Arabidopsis thaliana: one gene and its partners. The protein of the gene in region 4 interacts with the protein of the main gene of each other region in a pairwise test. Each region holds a gene or a part of one and is shown on either strand. Other genes may lie near its edges. The genes, in order: AT3G08930, ERD2, EMP1 and AT3G57220.

What was found.
Region 1: the proteins of AT3G57220 (region 4) and AT3G08930 interact in a protein complementation assay, tested with the Arabidopsis thaliana proteins (one large-scale study listed by BioGRID).
Region 2: the proteins of AT3G57220 (region 4) and ERD2 interact in a protein complementation assay, tested with the Arabidopsis thaliana proteins (one large-scale study listed by BioGRID).
Region 3: the proteins of AT3G57220 (region 4) and EMP1 interact in a protein complementation assay, tested with the Arabidopsis thaliana proteins (one large-scale study listed by BioGRID).

What each region holds. Positions count from the first base shown.
Region 1 is NC_003074.8:2,711,373-2,717,950, reverse strand, and holds AT3G08930 (LMBR1-like membrane protein), read right to left. Parts: upstream 4,640-6,578; 5' UTR 4,390-4,639; coding exon 4,040-4,389; intron 3,938-4,039; coding exon 3,852-3,937; intron 3,560-3,851; coding exon 3,444-3,559; intron 3,333-3,443; coding exon 3,222-3,332; intron 3,004-3,221; coding exon 2,905-3,003; intron 2,813-2,904; coding exon 2,690-2,812; intron 2,428-2,689; coding exon 2,365-2,427; intron 2,286-2,364; coding exon 2,221-2,285; intron 2,064-2,220; coding exon 1,954-2,063; intron 1,864-1,953; coding exon 1,749-1,863; intron 1,652-1,748; coding exon 1,586-1,651; intron 1,280-1,585; coding exon 1,169-1,279; intron 1,093-1,168; coding exon 1,026-1,092; intron 941-1,025; coding exon 893-940; 3' UTR 585-892; downstream 1-584. Other genes in the region: LHCB4.2 (light harvesting complex photosystem II), read right to left, coding at 1-234; AT3G08920 (Rhodanese/Cell cycle control phosphatase superfamily protein), read right to left, coding at 4,834-5,038, 5,238-5,677; AT3G08910 (DNAJ heat shock family protein), read left to right, coding at 6,140-6,304, 6,478-6,578.
Region 2 is NC_003070.9:10,257,721-10,262,802, forward strand, and holds ERD2 (ER lumen protein retaining receptor family protein), read right to left. Parts: upstream 3,513-5,082; 5' UTR 3,187-3,512; coding exon 3,096-3,186; intron 3,089-3,095; exon of another isoform or gene 2,842-3,088; intron 2,697-2,841; coding exon 2,431-2,696; intron 1,724-2,430; coding exon 1,608-1,723; intron 1,209-1,607; coding exon 1,135-1,208; intron 1,049-1,134; coding exon 985-1,048; intron 897-984; coding exon 860-896; 3' UTR 528-859; downstream 1-527. Other genes in the region: AT1G29320 (Transducin/WD40 repeat-like superfamily protein), read left to right, coding at 33-90, 184-518. UniProt on the Arabidopsis thaliana protein: Required for the retention of luminal endoplasmic reticulum proteins. Determines the specificity of the luminal ER protein retention system. Also required for normal vesicular traffic through the Golgi. This receptor recognizes H-D-E-L.
Region 3 is NC_003076.8:3,424,126-3,429,511, forward strand, and holds EMP1 (Endomembrane protein 70 protein family), read right to left. Parts: upstream 3,773-5,386; 5' UTR 3,673-3,772; coding exon 3,535-3,672; intron 3,055-3,534; coding exon 2,890-3,054; intron 2,788-2,889; coding exon 2,678-2,787; intron 2,583-2,677; coding exon 2,471-2,582; intron 2,388-2,470; coding exon 2,275-2,387; intron 2,195-2,274; coding exon 2,044-2,194; intron 1,943-2,043; coding exon 785-1,942; 3' UTR 563-784; downstream 1-562. Other genes in the region: AT5G10830 (S-adenosyl-L-methionine-dependent methyltransferases superfamily protein), read left to right, coding at 1-524; CBSX3 (Cystathionine beta-synthase (CBS) family protein), read right to left, coding at 5,048-5,190, 5,294-5,354.
Region 4 is NC_003074.8:21,172,373-21,177,754, reverse strand, and holds AT3G57220 (Glycosyl transferase family 4 protein), read right to left. Parts: upstream 3,361-5,382; 5' UTR 3,240-3,360; coding exon 2,872-3,239; intron 2,649-2,871; coding exon 2,561-2,648; intron 2,437-2,560; coding exon 2,345-2,436; intron 2,266-2,344; coding exon 2,147-2,265; intron 2,064-2,146; coding exon 1,948-2,063; intron 1,840-1,947; coding exon 1,712-1,839; intron 1,605-1,711; coding exon 1,518-1,604; intron 1,404-1,517; coding exon 1,343-1,403; intron 1,258-1,342; coding exon 1,217-1,257; intron 1,131-1,216; coding exon 1,010-1,130; intron 911-1,009; coding exon 851-910; 3' UTR 561-850; downstream 1-560. Other genes in the region: AGL16 (AGAMOUS-like 16), read right to left, coding at 1-45; AT3G57210 (uncharacterized protein), read left to right, coding at 3,802-3,907, 4,023-4,393.

The DNA of each region.
Region 1 (6,578 bases), about 18 Mb from region 4:
AAAAGGATCGAACCCGTAGTCCCCGACAAGTGAACCGTCGAGATATTCGGGTGATTTTGCGCCTGGGAACCATAGAGGCCGGTCTGAGATAACCGTCTTAGCCTTTTTGGGAGATGCTTTCTTGGTTCCGAATCCGAACCGGGCTGTGAACCGGCTTGAATTGGAGCTAATGTCGGAAACCACCCGGGTACCCATGATTGAAGAAGCAGCAGCGGCGGTTGAAGTGGCGGCCATCTCCGGCGTCGTTAGTTAGTTCTGTCGCGTTTGCGGTTTGTAACTTATCTGAAGCAAATGGCGTTTTTAAGTGGCGGTATGTGTGTGGGAGAGATCTCAGAGAACGAATCTTGACGGTTAGATGGAGAAACAAATCCATCTGACGGTAGGAAACAAAATCAGCCTTATCTATAAAAAGCTCGCGTTATCTATCCTGTCTGTCTTTTAGAGTTAGATGAGGCAAGCAAGCTGATTGGGCAAAAGAAGCTATTGACGAATCGCATAGCAACGCCACTTGTCACTTCAGCAGCACATGTCCACTTGTATAGTTGTATGCCTTGCATACTAAACAAATTCAAGAATATTGATAATCCGGTTAGGTTCGGTTACAATTGTCTCAAACCACAAAGGAAGTCTCTGTCTTGTAAAAATTCGAAGAAGGCTTCTCATTAAGAAAATATGATTACATGATCGCATCCGAGACAGTACAATAGACCAAGACAGGACAGCTAACTGTTGCGCAACCAAACAGCACACTCACAAGAAATTTAATAATACATTCAGGAAAATAAACCTCAGAAGCAGAGTCTCTAGATACTTCTGGAATCGATGATGATCCAGAAACAAGTAGAAACTTTGTCGACAGCACTCAATCAGATCCCCGTGAAAACGTTTTACATTAAGAAGAGAGCTGGAAACGGCCACTAGTTTTTTTTCTTCTCCATCCCTGCCAAAACACCAAAGACCATATGATTCTACAAATACTTAATACAGAAGAGAAAACCCGAGGAGTAACATCAACGAGGACTTACAAAGGCAATGTAATATAGGAAAGTCAGTCCAGCCAGGATAACAAACCCGATTTGGAACACATTGTACCTGAAATATAAAACCTCAATAAGACGCATCACGGATATAGCATATGACTGCTATATGTTATACCACTTCTACTTACTTGTAAAGGTACTTAATTCCTCTAAGGGACTGCAATGTGTGGCCAAATATCTCCTGGGCAGCAGTGGCTTGAGCGTAATATCCAAATGCAGTGGCACAAAATTGAATCACGCTGCATTTTAAATGAACCACATTACTCAGACTGTGAGGATTAACATGTAATTGTGAGGGTAGCAGCTGTATATTAAAAGTCTTGGTTTGACATCTAATAGAGTACAAAGGATACCCAAGTGCATGAGTAAAGTAACTATAAACTTCGATTCAGGCATTCGCCGGAAAGGAAATTAGTTTTAGTGATGGCATGAAAACACTGATAAGTTAATGTATGCACATAAACATGCTTGATCTAGATCCGTTTATCAGAGTGCACTTGATCCCAACAGATACAAAGGCAGAAGAAGAGACCAGAGAGACTTACCTGATTGAACAAAGAAGAATGAGGCCGACATTGAAGAGGAAAGAGTTCATTAGAGTAGCTCCCCATCTGAAATAAGTTGATATGGCCAATCAGCAATCAAGAGAAGGTAATGAATGACCTTGGAAAATAGCCAAATAATGTTGAAACCGGTTAGATGGATTACTTCATTGGATGAATGGTAATGAAGACCAGCTTCAAACCCAGCATCATTGCCCCAGCGATAACAGCAAGTAGAAGGTAGAAACAGAAGAAAGCAAAGGCAGCAGTGCCTAAAAGACCTGGAGATTTCCACACGTACCAGCATGGAGTCAGTTAGAAACAAAGAAGAAACCTTATACAGGATAACAAGGACAAAAGTATGAACTTACCCCAAACATCATCAAGCTTAATGAAAACCTCGTTAAGAAAAGGGGAGAGAGGAGGGTCGACGAGTAGATATATGATGATGTGTGCAACCCAAGCAATGGAAACGATCAATCTACAAAGACATTAAAAATTTGCCATTTAAAAAGACGCTTAGCTCGGGAGCTTAAGAGTGCAAACCTAAATATGCAAGAACTGTATGCATTATGCATGATTTATACAACATGTAACAAAAAAAAATGCAAAGGAGGTTTCTGCTTAGATGTACTAACCCTACGATTCCAAGAATAAACTTGGCCAAGTATCCGAGCACAGTGAAAGCCCATGCAGTTTCTGCCTGGAAAAAGGTACCAGGGAATAAAATAGTTGAACAAGAAAAATATTATAGTATAAGTTCTAAGATACACTCGTCTTACCTGCTCTCCTTGAGGATACATCTCTTCTAAGAGGTTCACATCTTCCTCCAATTGGAGCAACTCCTGCAGGGTTACCACATTCAATTATAGGATTGAGGGGACACAGCTTAAATCCACAACCAAGCAAAGAAAAGCTACCAATAAAGTCAATAACCAATTCTACTATCTCACTAGCTTTTCACTACAAGTTGTCATTCTCATAACTCCACAGACGACCAAAGCCTCTTTACACACAAGGGACCAGTATGAATAGGCAAACTTTCCAAGTTGCTACTTATGAAACAAAATTTAGATAAGATACTGAACCTTGAGATATATGAGGTACCTTTTCAACTGCTTTCACATTTTTCCGCCATTTCCTGCCCTTAGCACCACTTCTTTCTTCCTGATGAAGTCCATCAGCTGCTTTCTTTAGTTCTCTTGCCTTTTTACCTAGTTCGGTTGCCTCCTGTAATATATTTATGGAGTTAATCATGCAAGAGACAGAGGGATTGACTCAAGATCTAGAGAGATGCTTCCAGAGGAGAACAATAACCAGACCTTTATATATTGTGATCGAGTGATAACAGCCTTTGGTCGCCTGATGAATGCAGTGATAAGTCCTAATGGTAGACATGCAATACCAACACCACCAAATATCTAGAAATATTTGAGAGAACAATTAGTTATCAGATTTTTTTTACTGAAATGTATAAATCAAACATCTATTTACTTCAATGGATACAGAATTATATCTTGCCATGCATCTCATCTGTTGAGAGTTTGTGTTAGTCAATGAAGAATCAACAATATAAGACAGATTAAATCCTTTCAAAGCAAACAATGCACTTCTCAACATGAAAGAACAATGGTCATACCGTGAAAAGAACTGACCCAACAATTGTCGCAAGAGCAACAACATATTCTGGAAAAGTAGTACGCATAGTCCATGTTTTCTCAGATGTGGGATTAGCTGTAAATGCTGAGCACTGCATTGATAGCCAGAGACAGGAATATGTTAAATGCTGAAACTCTCTACGGCATAAATGACTCATGATATAAAAACTAATGCTAATGCTACATTCAAGAGGCAAACATACCTGGCGAGCAGTGTTACCTATGCATGGTTGAGTATTTGAAAACTGCCAGGAAGTAGGGAAAGTGGATGTGGCAGAAGCCAAATGCCTGACCGAGAAGTCCACCTTTCCAATGACACCTACATGATGAAGATGTTACCAATAATGTTAAGGTATTCCTAGCATATAAATGGATAAGATAGATATCTCAACCCAAGCCCTGATTGGGTAATTTAAAAGCCAAAATTAACATAAGAATGCAGTCAAATCATAGAGACCAACATCAGATTCATCCTTGCCACATGCTCACTAATGGATTCAATAACCACTCCAGCTAAACAAGTATAACCTCCAGACTATCGTCATTCGTCAATACAGAAAGACGCTGAATTTCAAGTCGACAAAAGAATTGAAAACAGAGGAACAACTAACCATATAAAATTCCAAGCACCAGAGCACAAACAACAGCCGTGGTAACTACCCAAATTAAGGCACTTTTTATCCTCTTTCCAAGAGTCCTGTGAAAAAACGAAAGAAAAAAAGCCCACAAATTGTCATCAGTATTCGATTAACTCAAAACTTACAACATAGAGATACTAAAATTTCATCAAGCTACGAACTTGTCCTGGTCGCCTTCATAGAAAAACATTGCGAAGGGGATGACAAAGAACACGAGAATAGCGTCCACGATATAAATAGCAAGCCAAAGATCCTTCATGGGCAAGGTGAGATTGCAAGCTCCATTGTATATAGCATGTCGACAAGCATGCCGATTGGCCACATCAGCCGGTAACATGAGAATCGAGATCATAGCAATAGAAAGGCCAAAAACAACGACGAATTTGGGGAAATAAGCCTGGTTTGCATCATCTGGATGCTGATAGTTGACGAGAAGATAGATGCTAGAGATGAATACGATGACGCAAACAACGATCGCGACAATCACGAGAGCGAGGTTGAAATCGCCCATCGTGTGCAATGTACAACGTCCCCAATTCGAGAGATTTCGATCCCGGAACGATTTGGAAGATGTAGCACCCAATTGCAAAGGCTAGGGTTTTCTAGGAGTTCAAATTTTGAAAATTGAATTTGGGGATTTTAGTAGATCTGGATTTCTTTCTTTTTTTCCCTCTCGAAAACCAGACGAGGGAAGAAGAAAGAGGACTGGGAGAGGATGAACATTCTTGTAAATTACGAAGCTACCCTCAACAATGTGCTCTCGTGCCTAATGGCTTTGGGTGTAAACGTAAATTGTTACTAGGTTTGGAGATTAGCTGTCCGAAGCAAATGATTCGGACAAAATATTTCAACTAATGAAAGACATCTGTAAGTAATAAACCAGTGACCAATTGTGTAAACCGGACACAATTTTAAAAACAAAAAATGTCTTCACACTTGGCTCCAAAAAACCAATTTAACGACTCTTCTGGCCAAAAGACGGTAACAGTACAAGTAGTTTGAGTAAATAAAATGATACACCTCCTATCGTGGCGAACCGAAGCTCTTCGGTCCCTTCGATCTCTGGAAAATCTCCCTCGGATACTCGGTTAAACCCTCCGGTTAACCACCCTAAGCTTTTGTACCCTTCTCCGTGGAGCTTTGATACAGCCGCCAACGACCTGAGAATGAGATTGAAAAGCAACACCATTTATAACAACCAAACCGAACCAAAGAGTTCAGTTTAATTTATACTATCCAAACCAAAAGATTCTATGATCAAATCGATTGATTAATAGTTTATTTAGTTTGATAAGTTTCTCTAAAATCTGGACTAAAACTGGCAATGATTAACCAAAATGCAACATATAAAGCTGGTACCTGAGTCCTTCACCGCACACGACGAGCACTTTACTCTCTTTGTCCGGGACAGCCTCCACAACACGGAGGGCGAATTCGTCATTGATCATGGTGAATCTCTGGCCCGTCCAAAGCCCAATATATCCCAAATGAATCCATTTCTTCAGCAACGTGATCGGCCCATTGTCTGGATCTTCCACGAACAGTGGCACGTGTAAGGAACCTTTCACGCGTGCCTTTTCTCTTTCCCAAGCCGGCCTCACGTCTAACAGTATATATCCCTCCGACGCCACAACCGCATTGGCTTCTTTGGGCTCCACCGCCCGTACCTTGCCGGAAAGTATCAGCTCTTTACCGGAAACGGCGGAGATCACTGGTAATCTGTATGATTGTCGGAGGCGTCGGTTTAGTACTACTGGTAGCTTGTGGATATGGTTTAGCTGAGGAAGAAGAACTGTCATCTTTAATTCTTTTGGATTTTCAGAGGAATTTAACCAATGATATTGTTCTTCAGATTTTTCATTTTAAGAACACCCCAAAACTTCTTACTTATTTCCATTTTAGGCCCTCAGATATTTCATAATTTGACTATCACCCTCGCTTAAAGTAAAGTAACAAACATATACTAGTGGGGTCAAATGTTAAATAATAAATATATAGGGCTACTAAGTGTAAATTTCCTCTCTTTGAAACGACACCGTGATTCTTAATTCTGATAAGGTTTGACTTTTGAGCTAGGTTTGCCGAACCAAAAACAGAACCGGTAAAGACCAAATAAAAGAACCGGTCGGGTATTTCTTGTATCTCGATAAATATTTCGAACCGGTACGGAATGATCCGCTAGAGTTTTTCCCATTGAAGAAGATCGAGTGAAATTCGAAGAGCGAATCAAAGAGGAAGAAGAAGAAGGAGGAGGTATAGCAATGGGGGTCGATTATTACAAGGTTCTTCAGGTGGATCGGAATGCGAAAGACGACGACTTGAAGAAAGCTTATCGCAAACTCGCCATGAAGTGGCATCCAGACAAGAACCCTAACAACAAAAAAGACGCCGAAGCCAAATTCAAGCAGATCTCCGAAGCTTACGATGTAAATTAACAAAATGCGTTTTCTCTTTTCAGAGAGATTCCCATCTTTTGCTTGAATTTGAGCAATTGTGTAGTTTGTCAATTCACTATGGTTACTTCTCTGGCAATTAAGTAATCTTGATTTGCTTGTAGAATTGTGTTTGATAGATTCCTTATGCTGTTGGATTTTGTAAGGTTTTGAGTGATCCTCAAAAGAGAGCCATCTATGATCAATATGGAGAAGAAGGTCTAACAAGCCAGGCTCCGCCTCCCGGAGCAGGCGGCGGGTTTTCGGA
Region 2 (5,082 bases), on a different chromosome or scaffold from region 4:
AGTCTTACTTATATATCATTGTTTTATTGCAGGTTTTCTTGAAGCAGCATCTTACAGGTCTTGTATTCGACTCGGGCTTTTCTGGAGAAGGTTTGTTTGTTTTCTAATGCCGTTCACAAATCGCATCTATGTTTGTATTCCTCTGTTAGTATGTTTGTAAAATGATTGGATTCATGGTTGAAGCAGAGACAGCTGTAGCAAACACAGTGGCTGAGGCTGCCACAGAGGAGAAGATGACGATCATGGACCAGGAAGATGATGAAACAGAGAAGGCTCCTGTGAAAAGAAAGAAGTCAAAGAAAGAGAAACGCAGTAGAGAAATAGTCTTTGAGGGTGAAGACGATGAGGAGAATGAAGACGAGATTGAGAAGGCTCCGGTCAAAACAAAAAAGTCAAAGAAAGAGAAACGCAGTAGAGAAAAAGTCTCTGAAGGTGAAGAGAAAGACGAGCTAAGAAGCAAGAAGACACGAGAGCACAAGAAGAAGACCAAGATAGTGAAACACAATCAAGAAGACTAGGTTTAAGTTTTGAAGACACATTGTTAACTTGGCTCTGATCTGAGCTACAGTTTTGAACTAAACACTCGCACAAAAGAAACAGAGTTTGTGTGTTATCTATAAAGACTAGTTTTGATAAAACGATGCCTCTTCTCAATGTCTAAAATCGTCGGGAAAGTTACAATGTGCATTAAAGACTAAAAAAAAAACACATTTTAAACAACAATCCTGCATCATTCAATTTTCAACTCATTGTTAGAAAGAGGGAGGACCCAAATGTTAACCATGTCTTTCTTTTCTAATGTCACCATTGCTGTAACTTCCTGGATTTTGATACTATTGCAAAAAAATTCGGGTTCTTTTCAAGCCGGAAGCTTAAGTTTGGTGTTGGTTTTCCAGCTACAACAAAATCAAAAAGGATCCAAAGTCAGTAACATGATCAGTAACTATAAAGAGAATATTATTCAGACTGGTGAGGTTACTTTACCTTATGTAGTAGTAGTAGAAGAAATCCGCATAGAGAGCTGTTTGGACAAGACCAGACACACAAGCTGGAAAATGGATTTACGTAAAACATTAGCATTGAGGAAAAACAAATGGTTAAAATGCATTTAGTGCTTCTTTGTTGAAACATTACCAATCCATCTAGTGAAATGATCTTCTGTGAAATAGCGATAGATCCAGTTGATAATATAGAGTCCCCGATACGCCCTGCATGTTAATCATTGCCCATGTGAGTGCATACAGAATACTTACTCAATTTTGCACATTGAAATATTGTGCACTGGACACAAAGGTATGCATCAGAACCAAATGCATAGCAAGATGTAAAGCAGTCTGATTTCCTTTATAGAAAAAAATATAGTTCAGCTCAGCTTCCAGACGCATTAACATTAAACGGAAAACAATGTCTGGACTTTAGAAATATGCACTGATTTTTAAACACCACAATGACACTGGAGAGCGATTCTCATTGATCAAGTTAACAAGTGCATGAGCAGTGAAAGACACAGTATATATATAAGATAAACCAATTCTAAAAACAAACCCAACAGAGAAGCCAGTGGAGATCAAGTGAGCAAACGCATATGTCTGGTTAGAATTACGTACCCGAGAAAGACAACATATTGCCCAGTCAAATTGTCGACATTCCCACTTCTTTGTAGCAGAACCAACTGGGGAAGGATAGCAACTGCCTCTAAGTAGATAGAAAACGCCCAGAACACCTGAAATGGTTTGGAATGCACAGAATTAACATATTGCACAATGATTCTGGCTATCAACACAGAGAGGCCACAATGCTGCAAAAATACTTAAAGAGTGAAGGCAGTTTGCAAAGATCAGATCTTTACCAAGAGCATATACTGGAAAAATACATATGAAGGTAGTAAGGGAAAACGATCTTAGTGAAGTGCATATAAGGAGTCACTACAGTTTCTTATGACAAGATAATCAAAGAACACAATGGCCAGAAAAGTAACAGCGAGATACAGATGACACTAATCCATGGGGCACCTTATGGAACATAGGTAGGTAGGACACAGAAGATTCCATGAATGGAAGCAAACAAACCTTTCACGATGCAACAGTTTGATATTCAAAGAGTTTCTCAAAACAATCAGCGAGTGAGAGGCTACATAGGTAGTACAACGTTTAAACAAGCAAAAATAAAACTATAAACGCCGGACTCCTAATTGGTTCTGGAAGGAGTTATGTTCAGTTTCATTTACATAGACGATATTCTATTCTACACTAGCCAAGATAGTTACCAAATCCAAATGATATAAGAAGAAGGAACCGAATGAATCAAATGAATAAATAAACCAAAAACAAGATTACACAACATATGCATGTCTTCTAACAACAAGTATTCGCTTTCCTAGTCTCTACAACCTAAAAACACAAAAGCAATGTGAAATTCATATGAAAATACCTCTTGAACTGTGAATTTTTCATTCAGGATAAGTCCCAGTACAAAACACGCTAACACAACATACTGATGACGAAATGTGTCCAGGTCCTTATCGTATGACCTCCTCACAAGTGGATGCCTACGCATACACCAAACGATAGCCAAAGAGCTGGCAATGAAGACAATCTTCATGATGCTGTTGTACAGAGATACATAATCCGTAAACAGATCCAAGTACCGAGTCAAGAACACAAGCGCATAGAGCTCTTGAGTCTTGAGAGAGATTCCTAGCCAACAAAATCCAAAAGTCAACAGCAACAATGTTAGGAGCTGCACAATCTATGAGAAAATCATGAGCATCTACAAGCATTTTCCATTCCGTGTAGCAATTTTCCGTTAAACCTAATGCAATTTAGGGGTGAGAGATCTCACTCGTTTAGAAATTCCATAGTGGTTTCGAAGATTGAGATTTCACAACTATTTTGACTTGCAATTTCAATCTACCAACTCGGATTCGCCTCGAAATCGATAAATAGACCTCAACAGGATTCAAATAAGATTGCATTTGAAAGCTATGGAAAGGAAAACAAAAGGTCAAAGCAAAATGCGATTGTTTCGTCTACGAGCTCGTCTTCAAAATATACACAACACATTTCATGAAAGAGAGAGAGAGAGAGAGAACTCACCAGCGCAAGATTTCGTCGCGTAGATTTTGAGAAGAAGGATTAAGACACTGATCAAGTGACTCATATCGCCAGCAAATCTAAAGATATTCATGGTTGACCAGTAATCGATAGAGACTCACCGATTCCAAAATTTTCCGGGAAAATCCAAAAGAAGAAGAGAAAACGAAATCGAACGAATTTTCTCTCTTCAAATCGAGAGAGAAACGAAGGAAGAGAGAGAAAGAGAGGCAAGGTGCAGCACGTTTCAGGTTTTGCAGAAACTCGTTGAGAGGAGACGATGACGTGGCAATCTGGAACGGTCTTTCTTCTCTAACGTGTGTGCTTACTTATTTCCTTAAAACTGCAAATTAGTCCTTCATTATTCGATTAATTATCGAAGTTTCCCTAAATAATTACCAAAAGAGAGCGTTTTAATTTTCAAAAGTGGAGAGGTGGTGTTATCTGGTACGTCGCACCTTGGTAAACTAGAAAGCGCCAGCTATCGGTGGGTCTATATTGCATCATATTAAGCCACGTGTTAATAGAACAGTGATGTGGCAGCTTCGTACGCGACATGGTGTGGTGTTTAACTTCAATTTTAATTCCTCGTGTTATCCACGTGTTTTGTATTTGAGAAAAACAGTTAGAATGGACCGGTTAAGAGTTGGTTATTAATAGATATGGGCCTTCTGTTATTATTTATATGGGCTTTAGCTCTCTGTGATAGATTAATACCCAATGTCATACCATGAACATATGCAAACATGTTTTAAAATAAAAAATTGAATGTTGATTTTTTTTTTTTTTTTTTTTTGGTTATGGAACGAAATAGAAGTGTTTACAAACTAATGTGATTGCAAATATGTTTTTTTTTTTGGGTGTATAATAATATTTGTTCTACGGTTGTTTTGGGTTAAACAGTATAGGATTTTGAGATTTTTGTGCTAGCTGTTGTCCTGACTCCTTATGATCTAACTCATTTTTTTTTTTCTTTTTTGCAAAGATGATTGAAATGTATAGTTTAGTCCATAAAATTATAAAATGATATTCAATGCTTCGCTTCAACGTTCAAGACTTCGTTTTTCTAGTGAACTAATAGACAACCATGAAAATGATGTATGAACGTCATTTAAAACAAGAATAAATTGTATGAACGTCATGACTCATGAATATAGAGGACACGAGAAATTAAACATGTTTGTTTTTTCTTTATCGTTAGTCAAAGAAAACCTACAGTATCACTAATAATACTCTTACGTTAGACTCCGTGGTCGGTCCGCTTGTTGCCTGGAGTGTTCGACTTTATCGATTATAGAGAAGTTCTATATATAATTTTATTTAATGGCGTATTTTAAAAAATCAACTATACCATTTTCAATTGTGTATAGACTATTGACTATAGATTATAGAATTTTTCAATGGCCACTAATCAAACAGTTCTGAAATCAAACAAATAGCTTTTCTGACTACATTGAAACAGTTAAAAATAGATAACATCACGTGACGGGATTATCTATGCTACAATGAAACTACGGCAATCGACAAAGTCGCTGCTTTTGTAATTTCATGTTGTGATGATGATTAAGGTGGTTCAGACGTGTGGTTTTATAGGAAACCGACTTTGTTTACATTTACAATAATTTCTTACAATTTTTAGAAATTTTGAACGTTTTACGATGAACACAATAATTTCACATGTAAATGTAAATAGTATCAAACAAAATCATTTTGTAAATTGTAAGCGCAAATACCAAACAAAAATGAAATGAACATGTAATGTAATATGGTATTTTTGCTTATAAAAGAAGCATATAATGTAACAAAGAAAGTTTTTACTACACATTGCAAAAATATGAAATAGTTTGATGGTAAACTGATCACATAGAAAAATGTTTGAATTTAGTTGGGTTAGCTTTAGTGGATTCTTTAGTTGTAATTTGCAAAACGCAAAACTTGGTTAAAGAAAGTGAACTTCCCTTTAGCTTAACATTTTTCTACACGCGCCTTC
Region 3 (5,386 bases), on a different chromosome or scaffold from region 4:
ACGACGAGCTAGTGGAATTAATCGGAGGAGAAAACTCAGTGGATCTAATCACGGTCGCCCAAGGCGTACACTGGTTCGATCTCCCTAGGTTCTACTCAGTGGCCACACGACTCCTCCGTAAACCAGGCGGAATCATCGCTGTCTGGGGATACAACGACGTCATAGTGAGTCCAGAGTTCGACGCCGTCCAGTATCGGCTCCACGCCACAACGCTGCCGTTTTGGAAGTATCCGTACATTCAGCACATCTTCGATTCGTACGAAGCATTGCCGTTTCCTTTCGAAAATGTTGGGATGGGATCAGAAGGGGAGCCATTAAAGCTGGAGATGCCTAAAACGACGTCGTTTGAAGGGATCATAAGGATGTTTAAATCATGGTCGGCCATCGTCACGGCGAGAGAGAAAGGCGTCGAGTTGTTACCGGAGAGTTTGGTGAGAGAGCTTGAAACCGCTTGGGGAGGTTCTGATCTGGTTCGTTCCGTCGTTTACAAAGCTTTTATGATTGCAGGAAAAGTTAGAGTTTGATATCACCAAACCATGATTGATTGTTGTTCTCATTTGAGTTTATTTATAAAAATTGGTTATATTGCAAAAATTCTCAGAAAGTGTTGTTATTTGACAAATCAAACAAAATACACTCTATTACATATATTAAAATCTCTTTTGGTATGCAACAAAATAGAACCTAAAATGCAACAAAACCGATTTTAAAAAGAAAAATAAGATAAACTATGATCACCTTTTCTTCTTTGTTTCCTTAATCGCCATGATGATCATCATATCCTCTAATCGATCTTAACAGAGGAATAGATGAGCCTTGTGAACCAGAGACAAGCATAGAACCCTATTGTTCCTGTGAGCACAAAAAATGCGTAGGAGGCGATGAGCATGTACCCAAAGTAAAGCATCGCAGAGACCAGTTTGGTGATCTGAAGCTTTGTGAAGAAGTAGAACGTGGCATAGAGGAAGAGGTAGAGAGCTGATGAGCCTGATGTGAGGTATGATCTCCACCACCAAAGGTAGTCCTCACTGCAAAGCTGGAAGTAGCAGAGTACTACGGTTATCTCGGCGCAAGTCACAATGAGGATTACAAAGACGAGGAAGAGGAACCCAAAGATGTAGTAGAACTGGTTGAGCCAGATGGATGTGAGGATGAAGAAGAGCTCGATGAAGACTGCACCAAACGGTAAGATTCCTCCAATGAGGATTGAGAAAACCGGGTTCATGTACCAAGCTTGCTCTGGGATTTGCCTCGGGATTTTGTTGGTTTTCACTGGGTCATCAGCCGCTGGCTTCTTGAACCCAATGTAACCCCCAACAAAGACGAGAGGAACTGAGATGCCAAACCAGAGGAAGATCAAGGCGAACATTGTTCCAAAGGGGACAGCCCCAGATGACTTCTGTCCCCAGATGAGAGCGTTTAGGACAAAGAAGATTGCTGACACAACTGCAGGAAACAAGAAGGCTGTTCTGAAAGCGATTCTCTTCCACTCTGTTCCTTTGAACATTTTGTAGAGACGTGAAGAGGCGTAACCAGCAAAGAGTCCCATGAAGACCCAGAGCAAGAGCATTGCAGTCATCAGACCACCCCGATTGGAAGGGGAGAGAAATCCGAGCATGGCGAAGATCATTGTGACAAATACCATGCCTAGACACTGGACCCCTGTTCCAACATAGACGCAGAGCAGATCAGAATTGGTAGGAAGTCTGAAAACATCACCATGGACAAGCTTCCATCCTGTCTCTTCTTGAGCTTCTTCTTGAGTCTCGAGCTCGTTGTATCGTGAAATGTCACGGTAAAGGGTCCTCAGCATTATCATTGCCACCATACCAGATAGGAATAGGACGATCATCAGAGAATTGACGATAGAGAACCAGTGGATTTGGTTATCACTCATCAGAAGATAAGTATCCCATCTAGATGCCCACTTCACTTCACTTTCCTGGACAGAAACAGAAGAGGAAATCAGAAAAACTATTGAAAACAAGAATTCATGAAATTTTTTTAAGACACAAACCGCAGATTACTTAAGAAAAAACTTGCCTGGAAATCGACGTCATATGTGAAGATAATCTCCTTCTTTTGTTCAACTTCTTGAGGGGTAGCCGAGCTAACGACCAGGCGTTTCGTGTGAGGATCACAAGTCGTCAGACGGGTCTTCTCACTCCACTCTCCCTCATACTCATGCTTCACACTACAAATCAACGGAGGGAATATCAGTTCTGAATGACAGGGGATCCCAAGAGACATTCAAATTATGAACAAGAACTGCACCTGTAAGGTTTAACCTCAAATCCCACGATTCTTGCAGCATCAGTTTGGATATCTCTGTGATAGCGGACTGTAAATGCCAAGTGATTGTGCATAAAGAACTTCTGCTCTTTGCTCTGCGTATGCAAAAACAAAATTAGAAAATCGAACGATCTAGCATGAATTCCATTTAGTGTCTTAACAATTAAAACCTACTTACCCCCTCGTACTGGCCTTTAAGACCAACATGATAACCAAGCTGATAAACAACAGAGGGAGAACCCTGGTCGACTCTTTCAATTGGAACAACCAGAGGAAGGTTGTCGAGGATCCTAACACAGACCAGAAACACTTATAATAAAACTGACAGAGAAAAGCATGTTCTTCATACAAATAATCAAAGAAAAGTGCCTGTATTTGGTCTTACATGTTGACCCGGTACTCATCATCGATCTTTTCTTTAAACGCTTTAGCTGTCTTGGCATCAAGAGTGACCCGGCCGAGAATATTGCACATTTGTGCCTCCCGCATTTTAAACTGCAATTGTTTCAGCCCCGCAAGGGTTAGAGTTAAATCACAGACATAATATTTTTGACAGCCTGATGAATTACAAAATTAAAAATTGAATACGAGACTAACCGAGTATGGGGCATTCTCAATCCGGTCACCCCGAAGCACTTCTCCAAGATTCTCAGTACTGTCCACAATCTTGCTAGGGCGACAAAAAGGAAGGGAGTAATACGAGTATGGAAGCTGAGTCTTTATGGAAGTTAATTTATTCACTTTCACCTTCAGCTCATCACCCTGCAACATACAAGAAAACAAGACTCAAAATTTGAATATGATTTTGAAGTGAAACATGCAAGTCTACTTTGATTGAGACTCGTCATATAACATGCAGGACCGACATTGCCCTTGTACCCATAACTTGGATTTCGTAGTAATGGCAAGCGAATCAAGAGCGAGAGATCACTAAGAACCTAACAAAGGTAATCAAAATTACAGCGAATAAGGCTAATCCAGAAGAATAAATATCGATATAGCTCGCCTAAGACGCTACATTGTTCAGATCGAGAGATTAGTGAAGCGGAAATGAAGTGAAATCACCAATTCTATTAGAAAAATAGCTAAACCAAAAGTCGGTGCATCAGCACTCCAACTCTCACTATCTCTAGCTTTCTCGGGAATCAAGAACGGATTAATCCTAGCGGAAATCGAAACGCAGATCCAGGAGATCCAAATCAGATCTAAAAGCCTAGAAGCACAAATTCGAAACGTTTTTACCTTCTCGAAATCCTGAGGAGCAACACCTGGGAGATAGAATGAGTGAGCTCCATGGATGAAGAGCAGAAAAATCAAAGCGATCGCGCATCCAGAAGATTCCAATATTCTTCTACTGCTCCTCAGAAACTCCATAGCCATGGCTGTTCCACACGAAGGAAGAAAATAACCAGATCTGAAGCTACGCTACAGTTGTATTTGACTCTTATACGCTTCGAGACTCGAGACCAAGACCCGCCTCTAATTGTGATTTAATACTTCCCGGTTTATTTTTCCGGTTTGGCTCGTTTATGTTTGATCCTTATCAACCATTAATAATTCACCACGTCACTACGCATGAAGTCTTTCTACGAGCTATAAGCCTACATAACCAATGGGCCTAACTCGATAAGCCCACCCTAGGATAAACCAATCCGATAAACCATGATTAATTAAAGTCAATCAAGATTTTTAAGCATTTGCTATACATTTTTAAGATTGTGTTAAAATGTGGTCTCAATATAATCGATAGAGAGAAAATGGGCGACGCCGCCGGAGGCTTGAGATCTGAAACGCAAGATGTGACCATGACGGACCTAGGAGAGAAAGGTCATTCTCCGGGAGACCCTCCTGATGCACCGGGTTCGTGGGTGAAGAAAGTGGTGGGGGGACATTTAGGTGGTATCCTAAATCCGAATGATATCTTAGATGATGAGTTTGTGTCTGAGCAAATGACACTGGAGTTCCCTGATGGTGAGGATGGAGAACCAGTGATAACAATTGGCAGTGAGGTATTGGCGGCGATGAATGGTTTGTTGAAGAACAGCTTGATCGTGAAAGTGCCCGGGCGTAACATGACAATATCAGCATTAAGTAGAAAGCTTCGAGAGATGTGGAAACCACGAGGAGCAATGTCTGTTGTGGATCTCCCTCGTAAGTTTTTCATGATTCGGTTCGAAGCGGAGGAGGAATACATGGCAGCGTTGACAGGAGGTCCATGGAGGGCGTTTGATCGCTATCTCATGGTGCAAGCTTGGTCACCGGAGTTTGATCCCTTGAGAGACGATATTGTGACCACACCATAATCGATTTGATTTGAAGAAAATCTATCGTTTTATATTTTGCCTTGGTTTACTTGTTTGTATTCAAAGAATTGGTTTACTTGTTAAGATATTTTTCATGGTCCAAAGACACGGAAACTTTGTACCGAAATCAAATTTTCAAAGTAATTCTATTATTTCATAACACACATGGATACTTGACGCAAGATTTGATAACAAAAACAAACATCATATCTTTCATAAAGAGATCAGAGTTTTTGGTTTTATTCTCTTGCTAAGTAAGCGCAAGAAGAGAAGCAGCACAAGGCCTTAGTTTTGACAAGTTAAACAACGAAACAACACAAAACATCAAACACAACAACAACAACAATAACAACGAGGACTGCATATTTACACTGATCTGGAAGCTTTTCAGATTCAGCAGCACAAGACCAGACGACACAACAGGGAACTCTTTTCTTTCCATTATTCAAGATCTAGTAACCTCCCTGAATATACGCATTTAGGCGTTGAAGCTCCTCTCTATGCTCATGAACCACTGCACGGACAACATCTCCTATGGACACCATTCCAATCATGCCCTTGTCTTTGATTACCGGAATATGCCTGATTCGGTTATCTGTACATTACAAAAACACAAACCCGCATTTTTATTTGCTTCAGTAGGTTTTAAACCCAAAAGCTTGTATCTTTAGTGGAAAAATATCAAGTTGTCTGCTTACCTGTCATCAGTTGCATAGCACGCAAGACCTTGGTCTCCGGTGTCACAGTGATAAGCTTATTCTGCAATTGCCAGTTCACAGATCCAGTCAGTT
Region 4 (5,382 bases):
CGTAGAGTTATTGATCCTCTTAATCGCGATCTTGCCCCTTCCCATTTCTGCTTCTATCACTTTTACACACAAACATCATCGTCAATTTCAAATCATCATCTCCTGAATCCAGGGGAGATTTTGAATAAAATAAAAAAATTGAACATTTACCTTTTTCAAAGAATAAACTAGATCGCGGGAAACGAGATCTGGTAATCCGATAACCGGAAGGGGGAGAAGAGAAATTGGTTCAGTTCAGAGATGTGGTTTTGTTGATCGAAAGAGAAAAAGGAAAGAGAAAGAGAAAGAGAAGAGAGAGCCACATAAGGAAAGAACATATGACAATTTGGGATATTTAGGGCAAAAGAGTTTTCTTACTATATAAACATACTTCGCTTGTTATGTTTTGACACATGGCATTCTATAAGTGGGTTTCTTTTCCGATTCTCCTTCTATTTTTTTATTACATTCTTTATTATTCTAGTACGACAGTAGTCTGTCTAATATTAAAAGCGCATTTTTAAAATTCAAAAATATATGTAAATGGACACTTCATTTAATGCATGCTATATTAGCAAAACTTTAATCTAAAAATTATTTAGTTTATTAATCAAAGTTATCAAAATAAGATCAGCATTTGTAGTTAAATTTAAATTCCAAGACAAATTTGTTCTGATTCATTTCATTGGCTTTATATTGTTGAGATACACTCGCCTTTAGATGAAAACTCTCTATATAAGTGAACTAAAACGATGATTCTAGTAGATTGTTGGACATGAAGCAAAACAAGTTCTGTGTTTGTATGATTTGTGAAGGCAGAGAGAGAGATGAAAAGAGGAACAGGTTTAGAGTTTCTTCATGTTGCAGAGATTTATTTGTACCAACCAGCTAGAAAATGCCTAAGCATGAAACAAAATGCGCAAGCAAGAGCCTGCAATAGAACACACAAAACACCAATCTTGTGATTTCTCTCTCTCAGAATAAACCAACTTGTATTTAGAGATGATAATATGGGCATTAACAAGTTTACCTGGAAAACAAGAAGATGAATACATAGAGACTTTTCTGTTTTCCTACCAAAAATCCTCAAGTAGACGTTCACGAGTGTCCCATCTTTTGTTCCTGTTAACAGTCCCGTAGCAGGATCATACCTGGTTTAAAAAAGAGAGAGGAAGAGTCATGTGTTGTTTACTTGTTGGCTTTGCCTCTTATGAAAAATGGACAAAAAATAGCTTACTTGGGGAGACGATGTCGTGGACATTTGACAATGCCAGCAAGCTGAAGAGTTATACAATAGCAAGTTAGATGCTTTCAAATGTATTGAAAAGTAACAGAAAGTGTGAGATGGAGAAAGGTATCAAACCTGCGGAAGTGACAGTAAAAAGTTCAACACTTGAGGAAGAAAAAAGATTAACAGGGTTTCACTGCAAAAAGCAAAGTTTCATAAGTAGTTAGTTAATTGAAGGCTCACACATAAGTTAAATGTAAATGATGAATCTAAGTACATTGCAATAAGGACGGTATGGTTAGAAGTATACCTGAAGTGACCGAGAATGCCAACAACTGCCATAGTCATTCCAGCAAAGACTGTGTAAGTGTCTCCAACAAAAACTGCAGAAGGGTACCTAACATCACCAAAGAGGGGACATGAACGTGGTTAGAGAAAGCATTCTGCTTTGCTAGTTTACCTGATTGATTTAAGAGAAAATGACTTGAAAGATCCAAAGATTACCAATTGTAGGCAAGCATTGCCAAGGATGTTGCCATCAATGGCTGAGTAAGATAGATTGAGAAGGCATGAGCTTGATGATACTCAGTATCAACAGATGCTCCGATTTGCATAACGTTGTGTATCAGAATCTACAAGTTACTGAGATTTATCATAACTTTACTTACGAGAAACCAACAGAAGGAAAAATGGGACCAAAAAAATGAAGCATTGCGACGCATTTTGACAGCAGAACTTACAGCAGCTGCAATAACTACGGTTTGACCGATTTCAAGGCCATTCAAACCAGCGTGAATGTTAATAGAATTTGTGCAAAAGACAGCCAGTAGCGCCATATATAACTTATATATACGTCCTGCCACGATAAATATACAACTAAGGAAATGAATTTCAAAATAGCTATTGATGGTTTAACACTATATACAAGATGAATTGTACCTAGATCAAACACTTCCAAGCCAATATAAGAAACTAAAGGTTTCGGTATGACGATAGTTGTATGTCCAGCATAAGCCATCAACAGTGGAAGGGTTGCAAAAGATGGCAAGAGAAGTTTCCTGCAAATTGACAAGAGTTAATAAGAAAACAAAACTAAATCATGAATTTTTAATCCAACAAAATGAGAACTGCACCTACACTCTCCAAGGCACATCAAGGACGTCATCTACAAATCCAAGCAATATCATGAAGCAAATAGACGCCAGTGCTGCATTATACTCCACAAGCCACTGCACCGAGTCATTTAGCCAGATTGATAAATTGCATTCAAAGTAAATGAGCCAAGAGCTACCAAGTTCATAGTTCACAATAAATAAATGATCAAGCTTGAGCTTTTGAGACCAGGACACTTACCACCGAATCTTCAGTGAAATTAAAGAACTGAAATACAATCGCCACTATCAAGAAGACAATACCGACAACAATTCCCAATGACTCAGGCCTACAAAGAAATAAGATTGCTGAAAATAAGCACATCAAAAGACTTTAAGTCCCCTGAGATCAAATCAAGCGTAAACATCCATAGAACATCAATCAGAAAATGAGACATCTCATAGTTTTCCTCCTATACAAAAAATCAAATCTAAGAGACATCCATTTCTAGAAAAACGCTGAACACTAATCTGAGAACTAAACAAAGACAAATCTAAGAAGGAAAAACATACACTCTAACTTCTCCTTGAGGAGTGCCTCTTTTGTTGATATCAAAACCAAACATATTACGCCTCAGAACGTATCTAGCAGCTACAGGAATCAACTTGAGTGTGACAAAGAATCCAACCAAGCTAAGCCCAGCGTTAATGAGGATCGGACGCTTGAGCTCATTGTCAACATTGTAGTGGAAACAGAGAAGGTAAAGATAAAGCGAACACAGAAGCGAAGAGATCACGAAAATCACGCCCAATTTCGGCGGCGCGAGCTGGAAATCCTCTCCGGAAACAGAGGTCTTCTGAACCGTCGGGGAAGATGCAGGTTCAGGTAGAGCTAGTTTCTCCGAATTGGACACTGAAGGAGTTCTCTTACGAGCAGTCATGGCGGATCCGTTGGCTATTTCTGGTTCCCCGCCTCTGGATTTGCTTCTTCCACTTTTCGCTGAAGCTTCAAAGCCTGTAGCATTTAATTACAACTTGCCCACGCACAACAATACGACATCGTATCAACACCACTTATTTATGAATTATCAAAAAGGCCCAAAAAAGCAAAGTATAAAGAAATAAATAAGTCTATGGGATTCATGTGAAATTAGGCAAATTACTAATATCTTTTTTTTTTATATAATCAAAGACTCATAATGTAAGAAAGAAGTTAACAAGATTACTATTAAGAATGCATCCCATAGACTTATTTAACTTCTTTGATTATCATCTCTCTTTGTGAAATTAATTAGGCAATTACTAACTATACTATCTTTTTTTTAATCAAAGTGTAAGACTCTTGTCTTCCTTTCTTCTCTTTCTTTATCCACTCTTGCTCTTCTTTTTATTCAAATTTCGTTTTTGATTTATCAGGGGACAAACTTAAAGCTCTCTCACGTTAAGAGATACAACAGGACTCTGGCTGCTGGTGCTTGCTGTTTCTACATTACTTTGGTTGCAATGCAGCCATCTAGTGGAAGGCGTTTTACTTTTCAGACTTCCGTTTATGAAGAAGCTTGTGGCCGGCTTGTTTTGACCTCCTTTATTGCTGAAAGACGTCGTCCAGGTAATTAAATTATTATTATACTACATGTGACTCCTTACTTGGGTAGGCGTGTTCATTAACACATCATTATTATTATTACAACAACTAGTATTTCATTCATCATTGTATATTTTAGGGACAATCATTAAAACGTCGTTGGAAAGAGAATTCTACCGCATGGGTAGCTTGCCTGAGTTCCCGCTGGAGAACCCTTTCGAAAACAGAAACCGATTTTACGTGGTGGATGATGAATCAGAGCTGCGAGCCAATGACTGGATTCGTCTGTATCTGGAACTTTCTGTTGCCATATCTGATAGGACCACCACGGATCATGATCTTTCCGGCTTGAGGATTGTGTCAGTAGCCATTCAAACTATGGAGCCACCCAGTGAGTCCTCTCTCACTGCTAAGAATGCAACTGTCTACATAAGGTACATTGACTTTTGTAAGGCTCGCTGTGGTCAGAACCTTGATCGCATAGCTGTAGTTAGAAGAAACCTTCAATGAGACTACGGGATGCTTTAGTCTCGACGGTTGGAATCAAAGCTCAGATATCATACCCAAAAAGAAGGCTACGAGTAGCAAACTTCTGTCCCAGCGTTTAATTCACAAATCACGGCAGATATGGCGGCGGCGGCGCACAAACCATGGCGTTGGCTTGGCTCATCGTCTTCGCAAAACAAGATCCATAGAATCAGCCATCCGAAAGTATACCCAAAAAGGGTACGAGTCTGAGCGTGAAACTTCTCTTACGGCGTTTCAGCATTCCCAAACCATGGCGGATATCTAAACTTTGACGGCGCAAGGCTTACAAAAACCATGGCGGTTCAAAATTTGGATTAGAGATGATATTATTAAACTTATTAATTTGGTAAAATGTTAAGTGGACTGGTTTCTGTGTGTTGTACGGTTTCCTAAATGTCTCCACCTTGAATAGTTTCTGTATGTAATAAGAATTTATTTTAGATTTCAGAGTTATGTATCACATGAAAAAGGCACAAACTATAAAGTATTTAAGAATATGACCATCTTTTTCTTTTGTATCAAAGTGTAAGAAAGATTTTAACAAGAAAAGTTTAAACAATGCAGTAACTACTAAATCATACGTCCAACATGTATAAGTTCTTTTAAGTTGTTCTTATTGGTTGTTATGGTCCACAACCTTATCAGTACTTGTCAATGCCTGGTTGCTACTAATTTGACTTAAGTACTCTCTTCTAAATTATTGCTCATGTTCTCAGTCTGAAACATTAAGTTTCTGTAAGGTTTAAGTCAACATGAAGCTGTTTGTGACATCAGCTGAGTGACTCATAAGAAGCTAAAGATGTTGAGAAACCAAACTTCACATTTCAGGAAAACCATAAATCTGAAGAATGGAAGGTAGAGAGATAATTTGATACTTGATGACAGGAGTTCTGGAAACGTAATTGCAGAACCTTCCTAATTGATAAGGACCTAGCAAAACAGAGCGAGAGGAAAGAAAAACCACAAGTGTG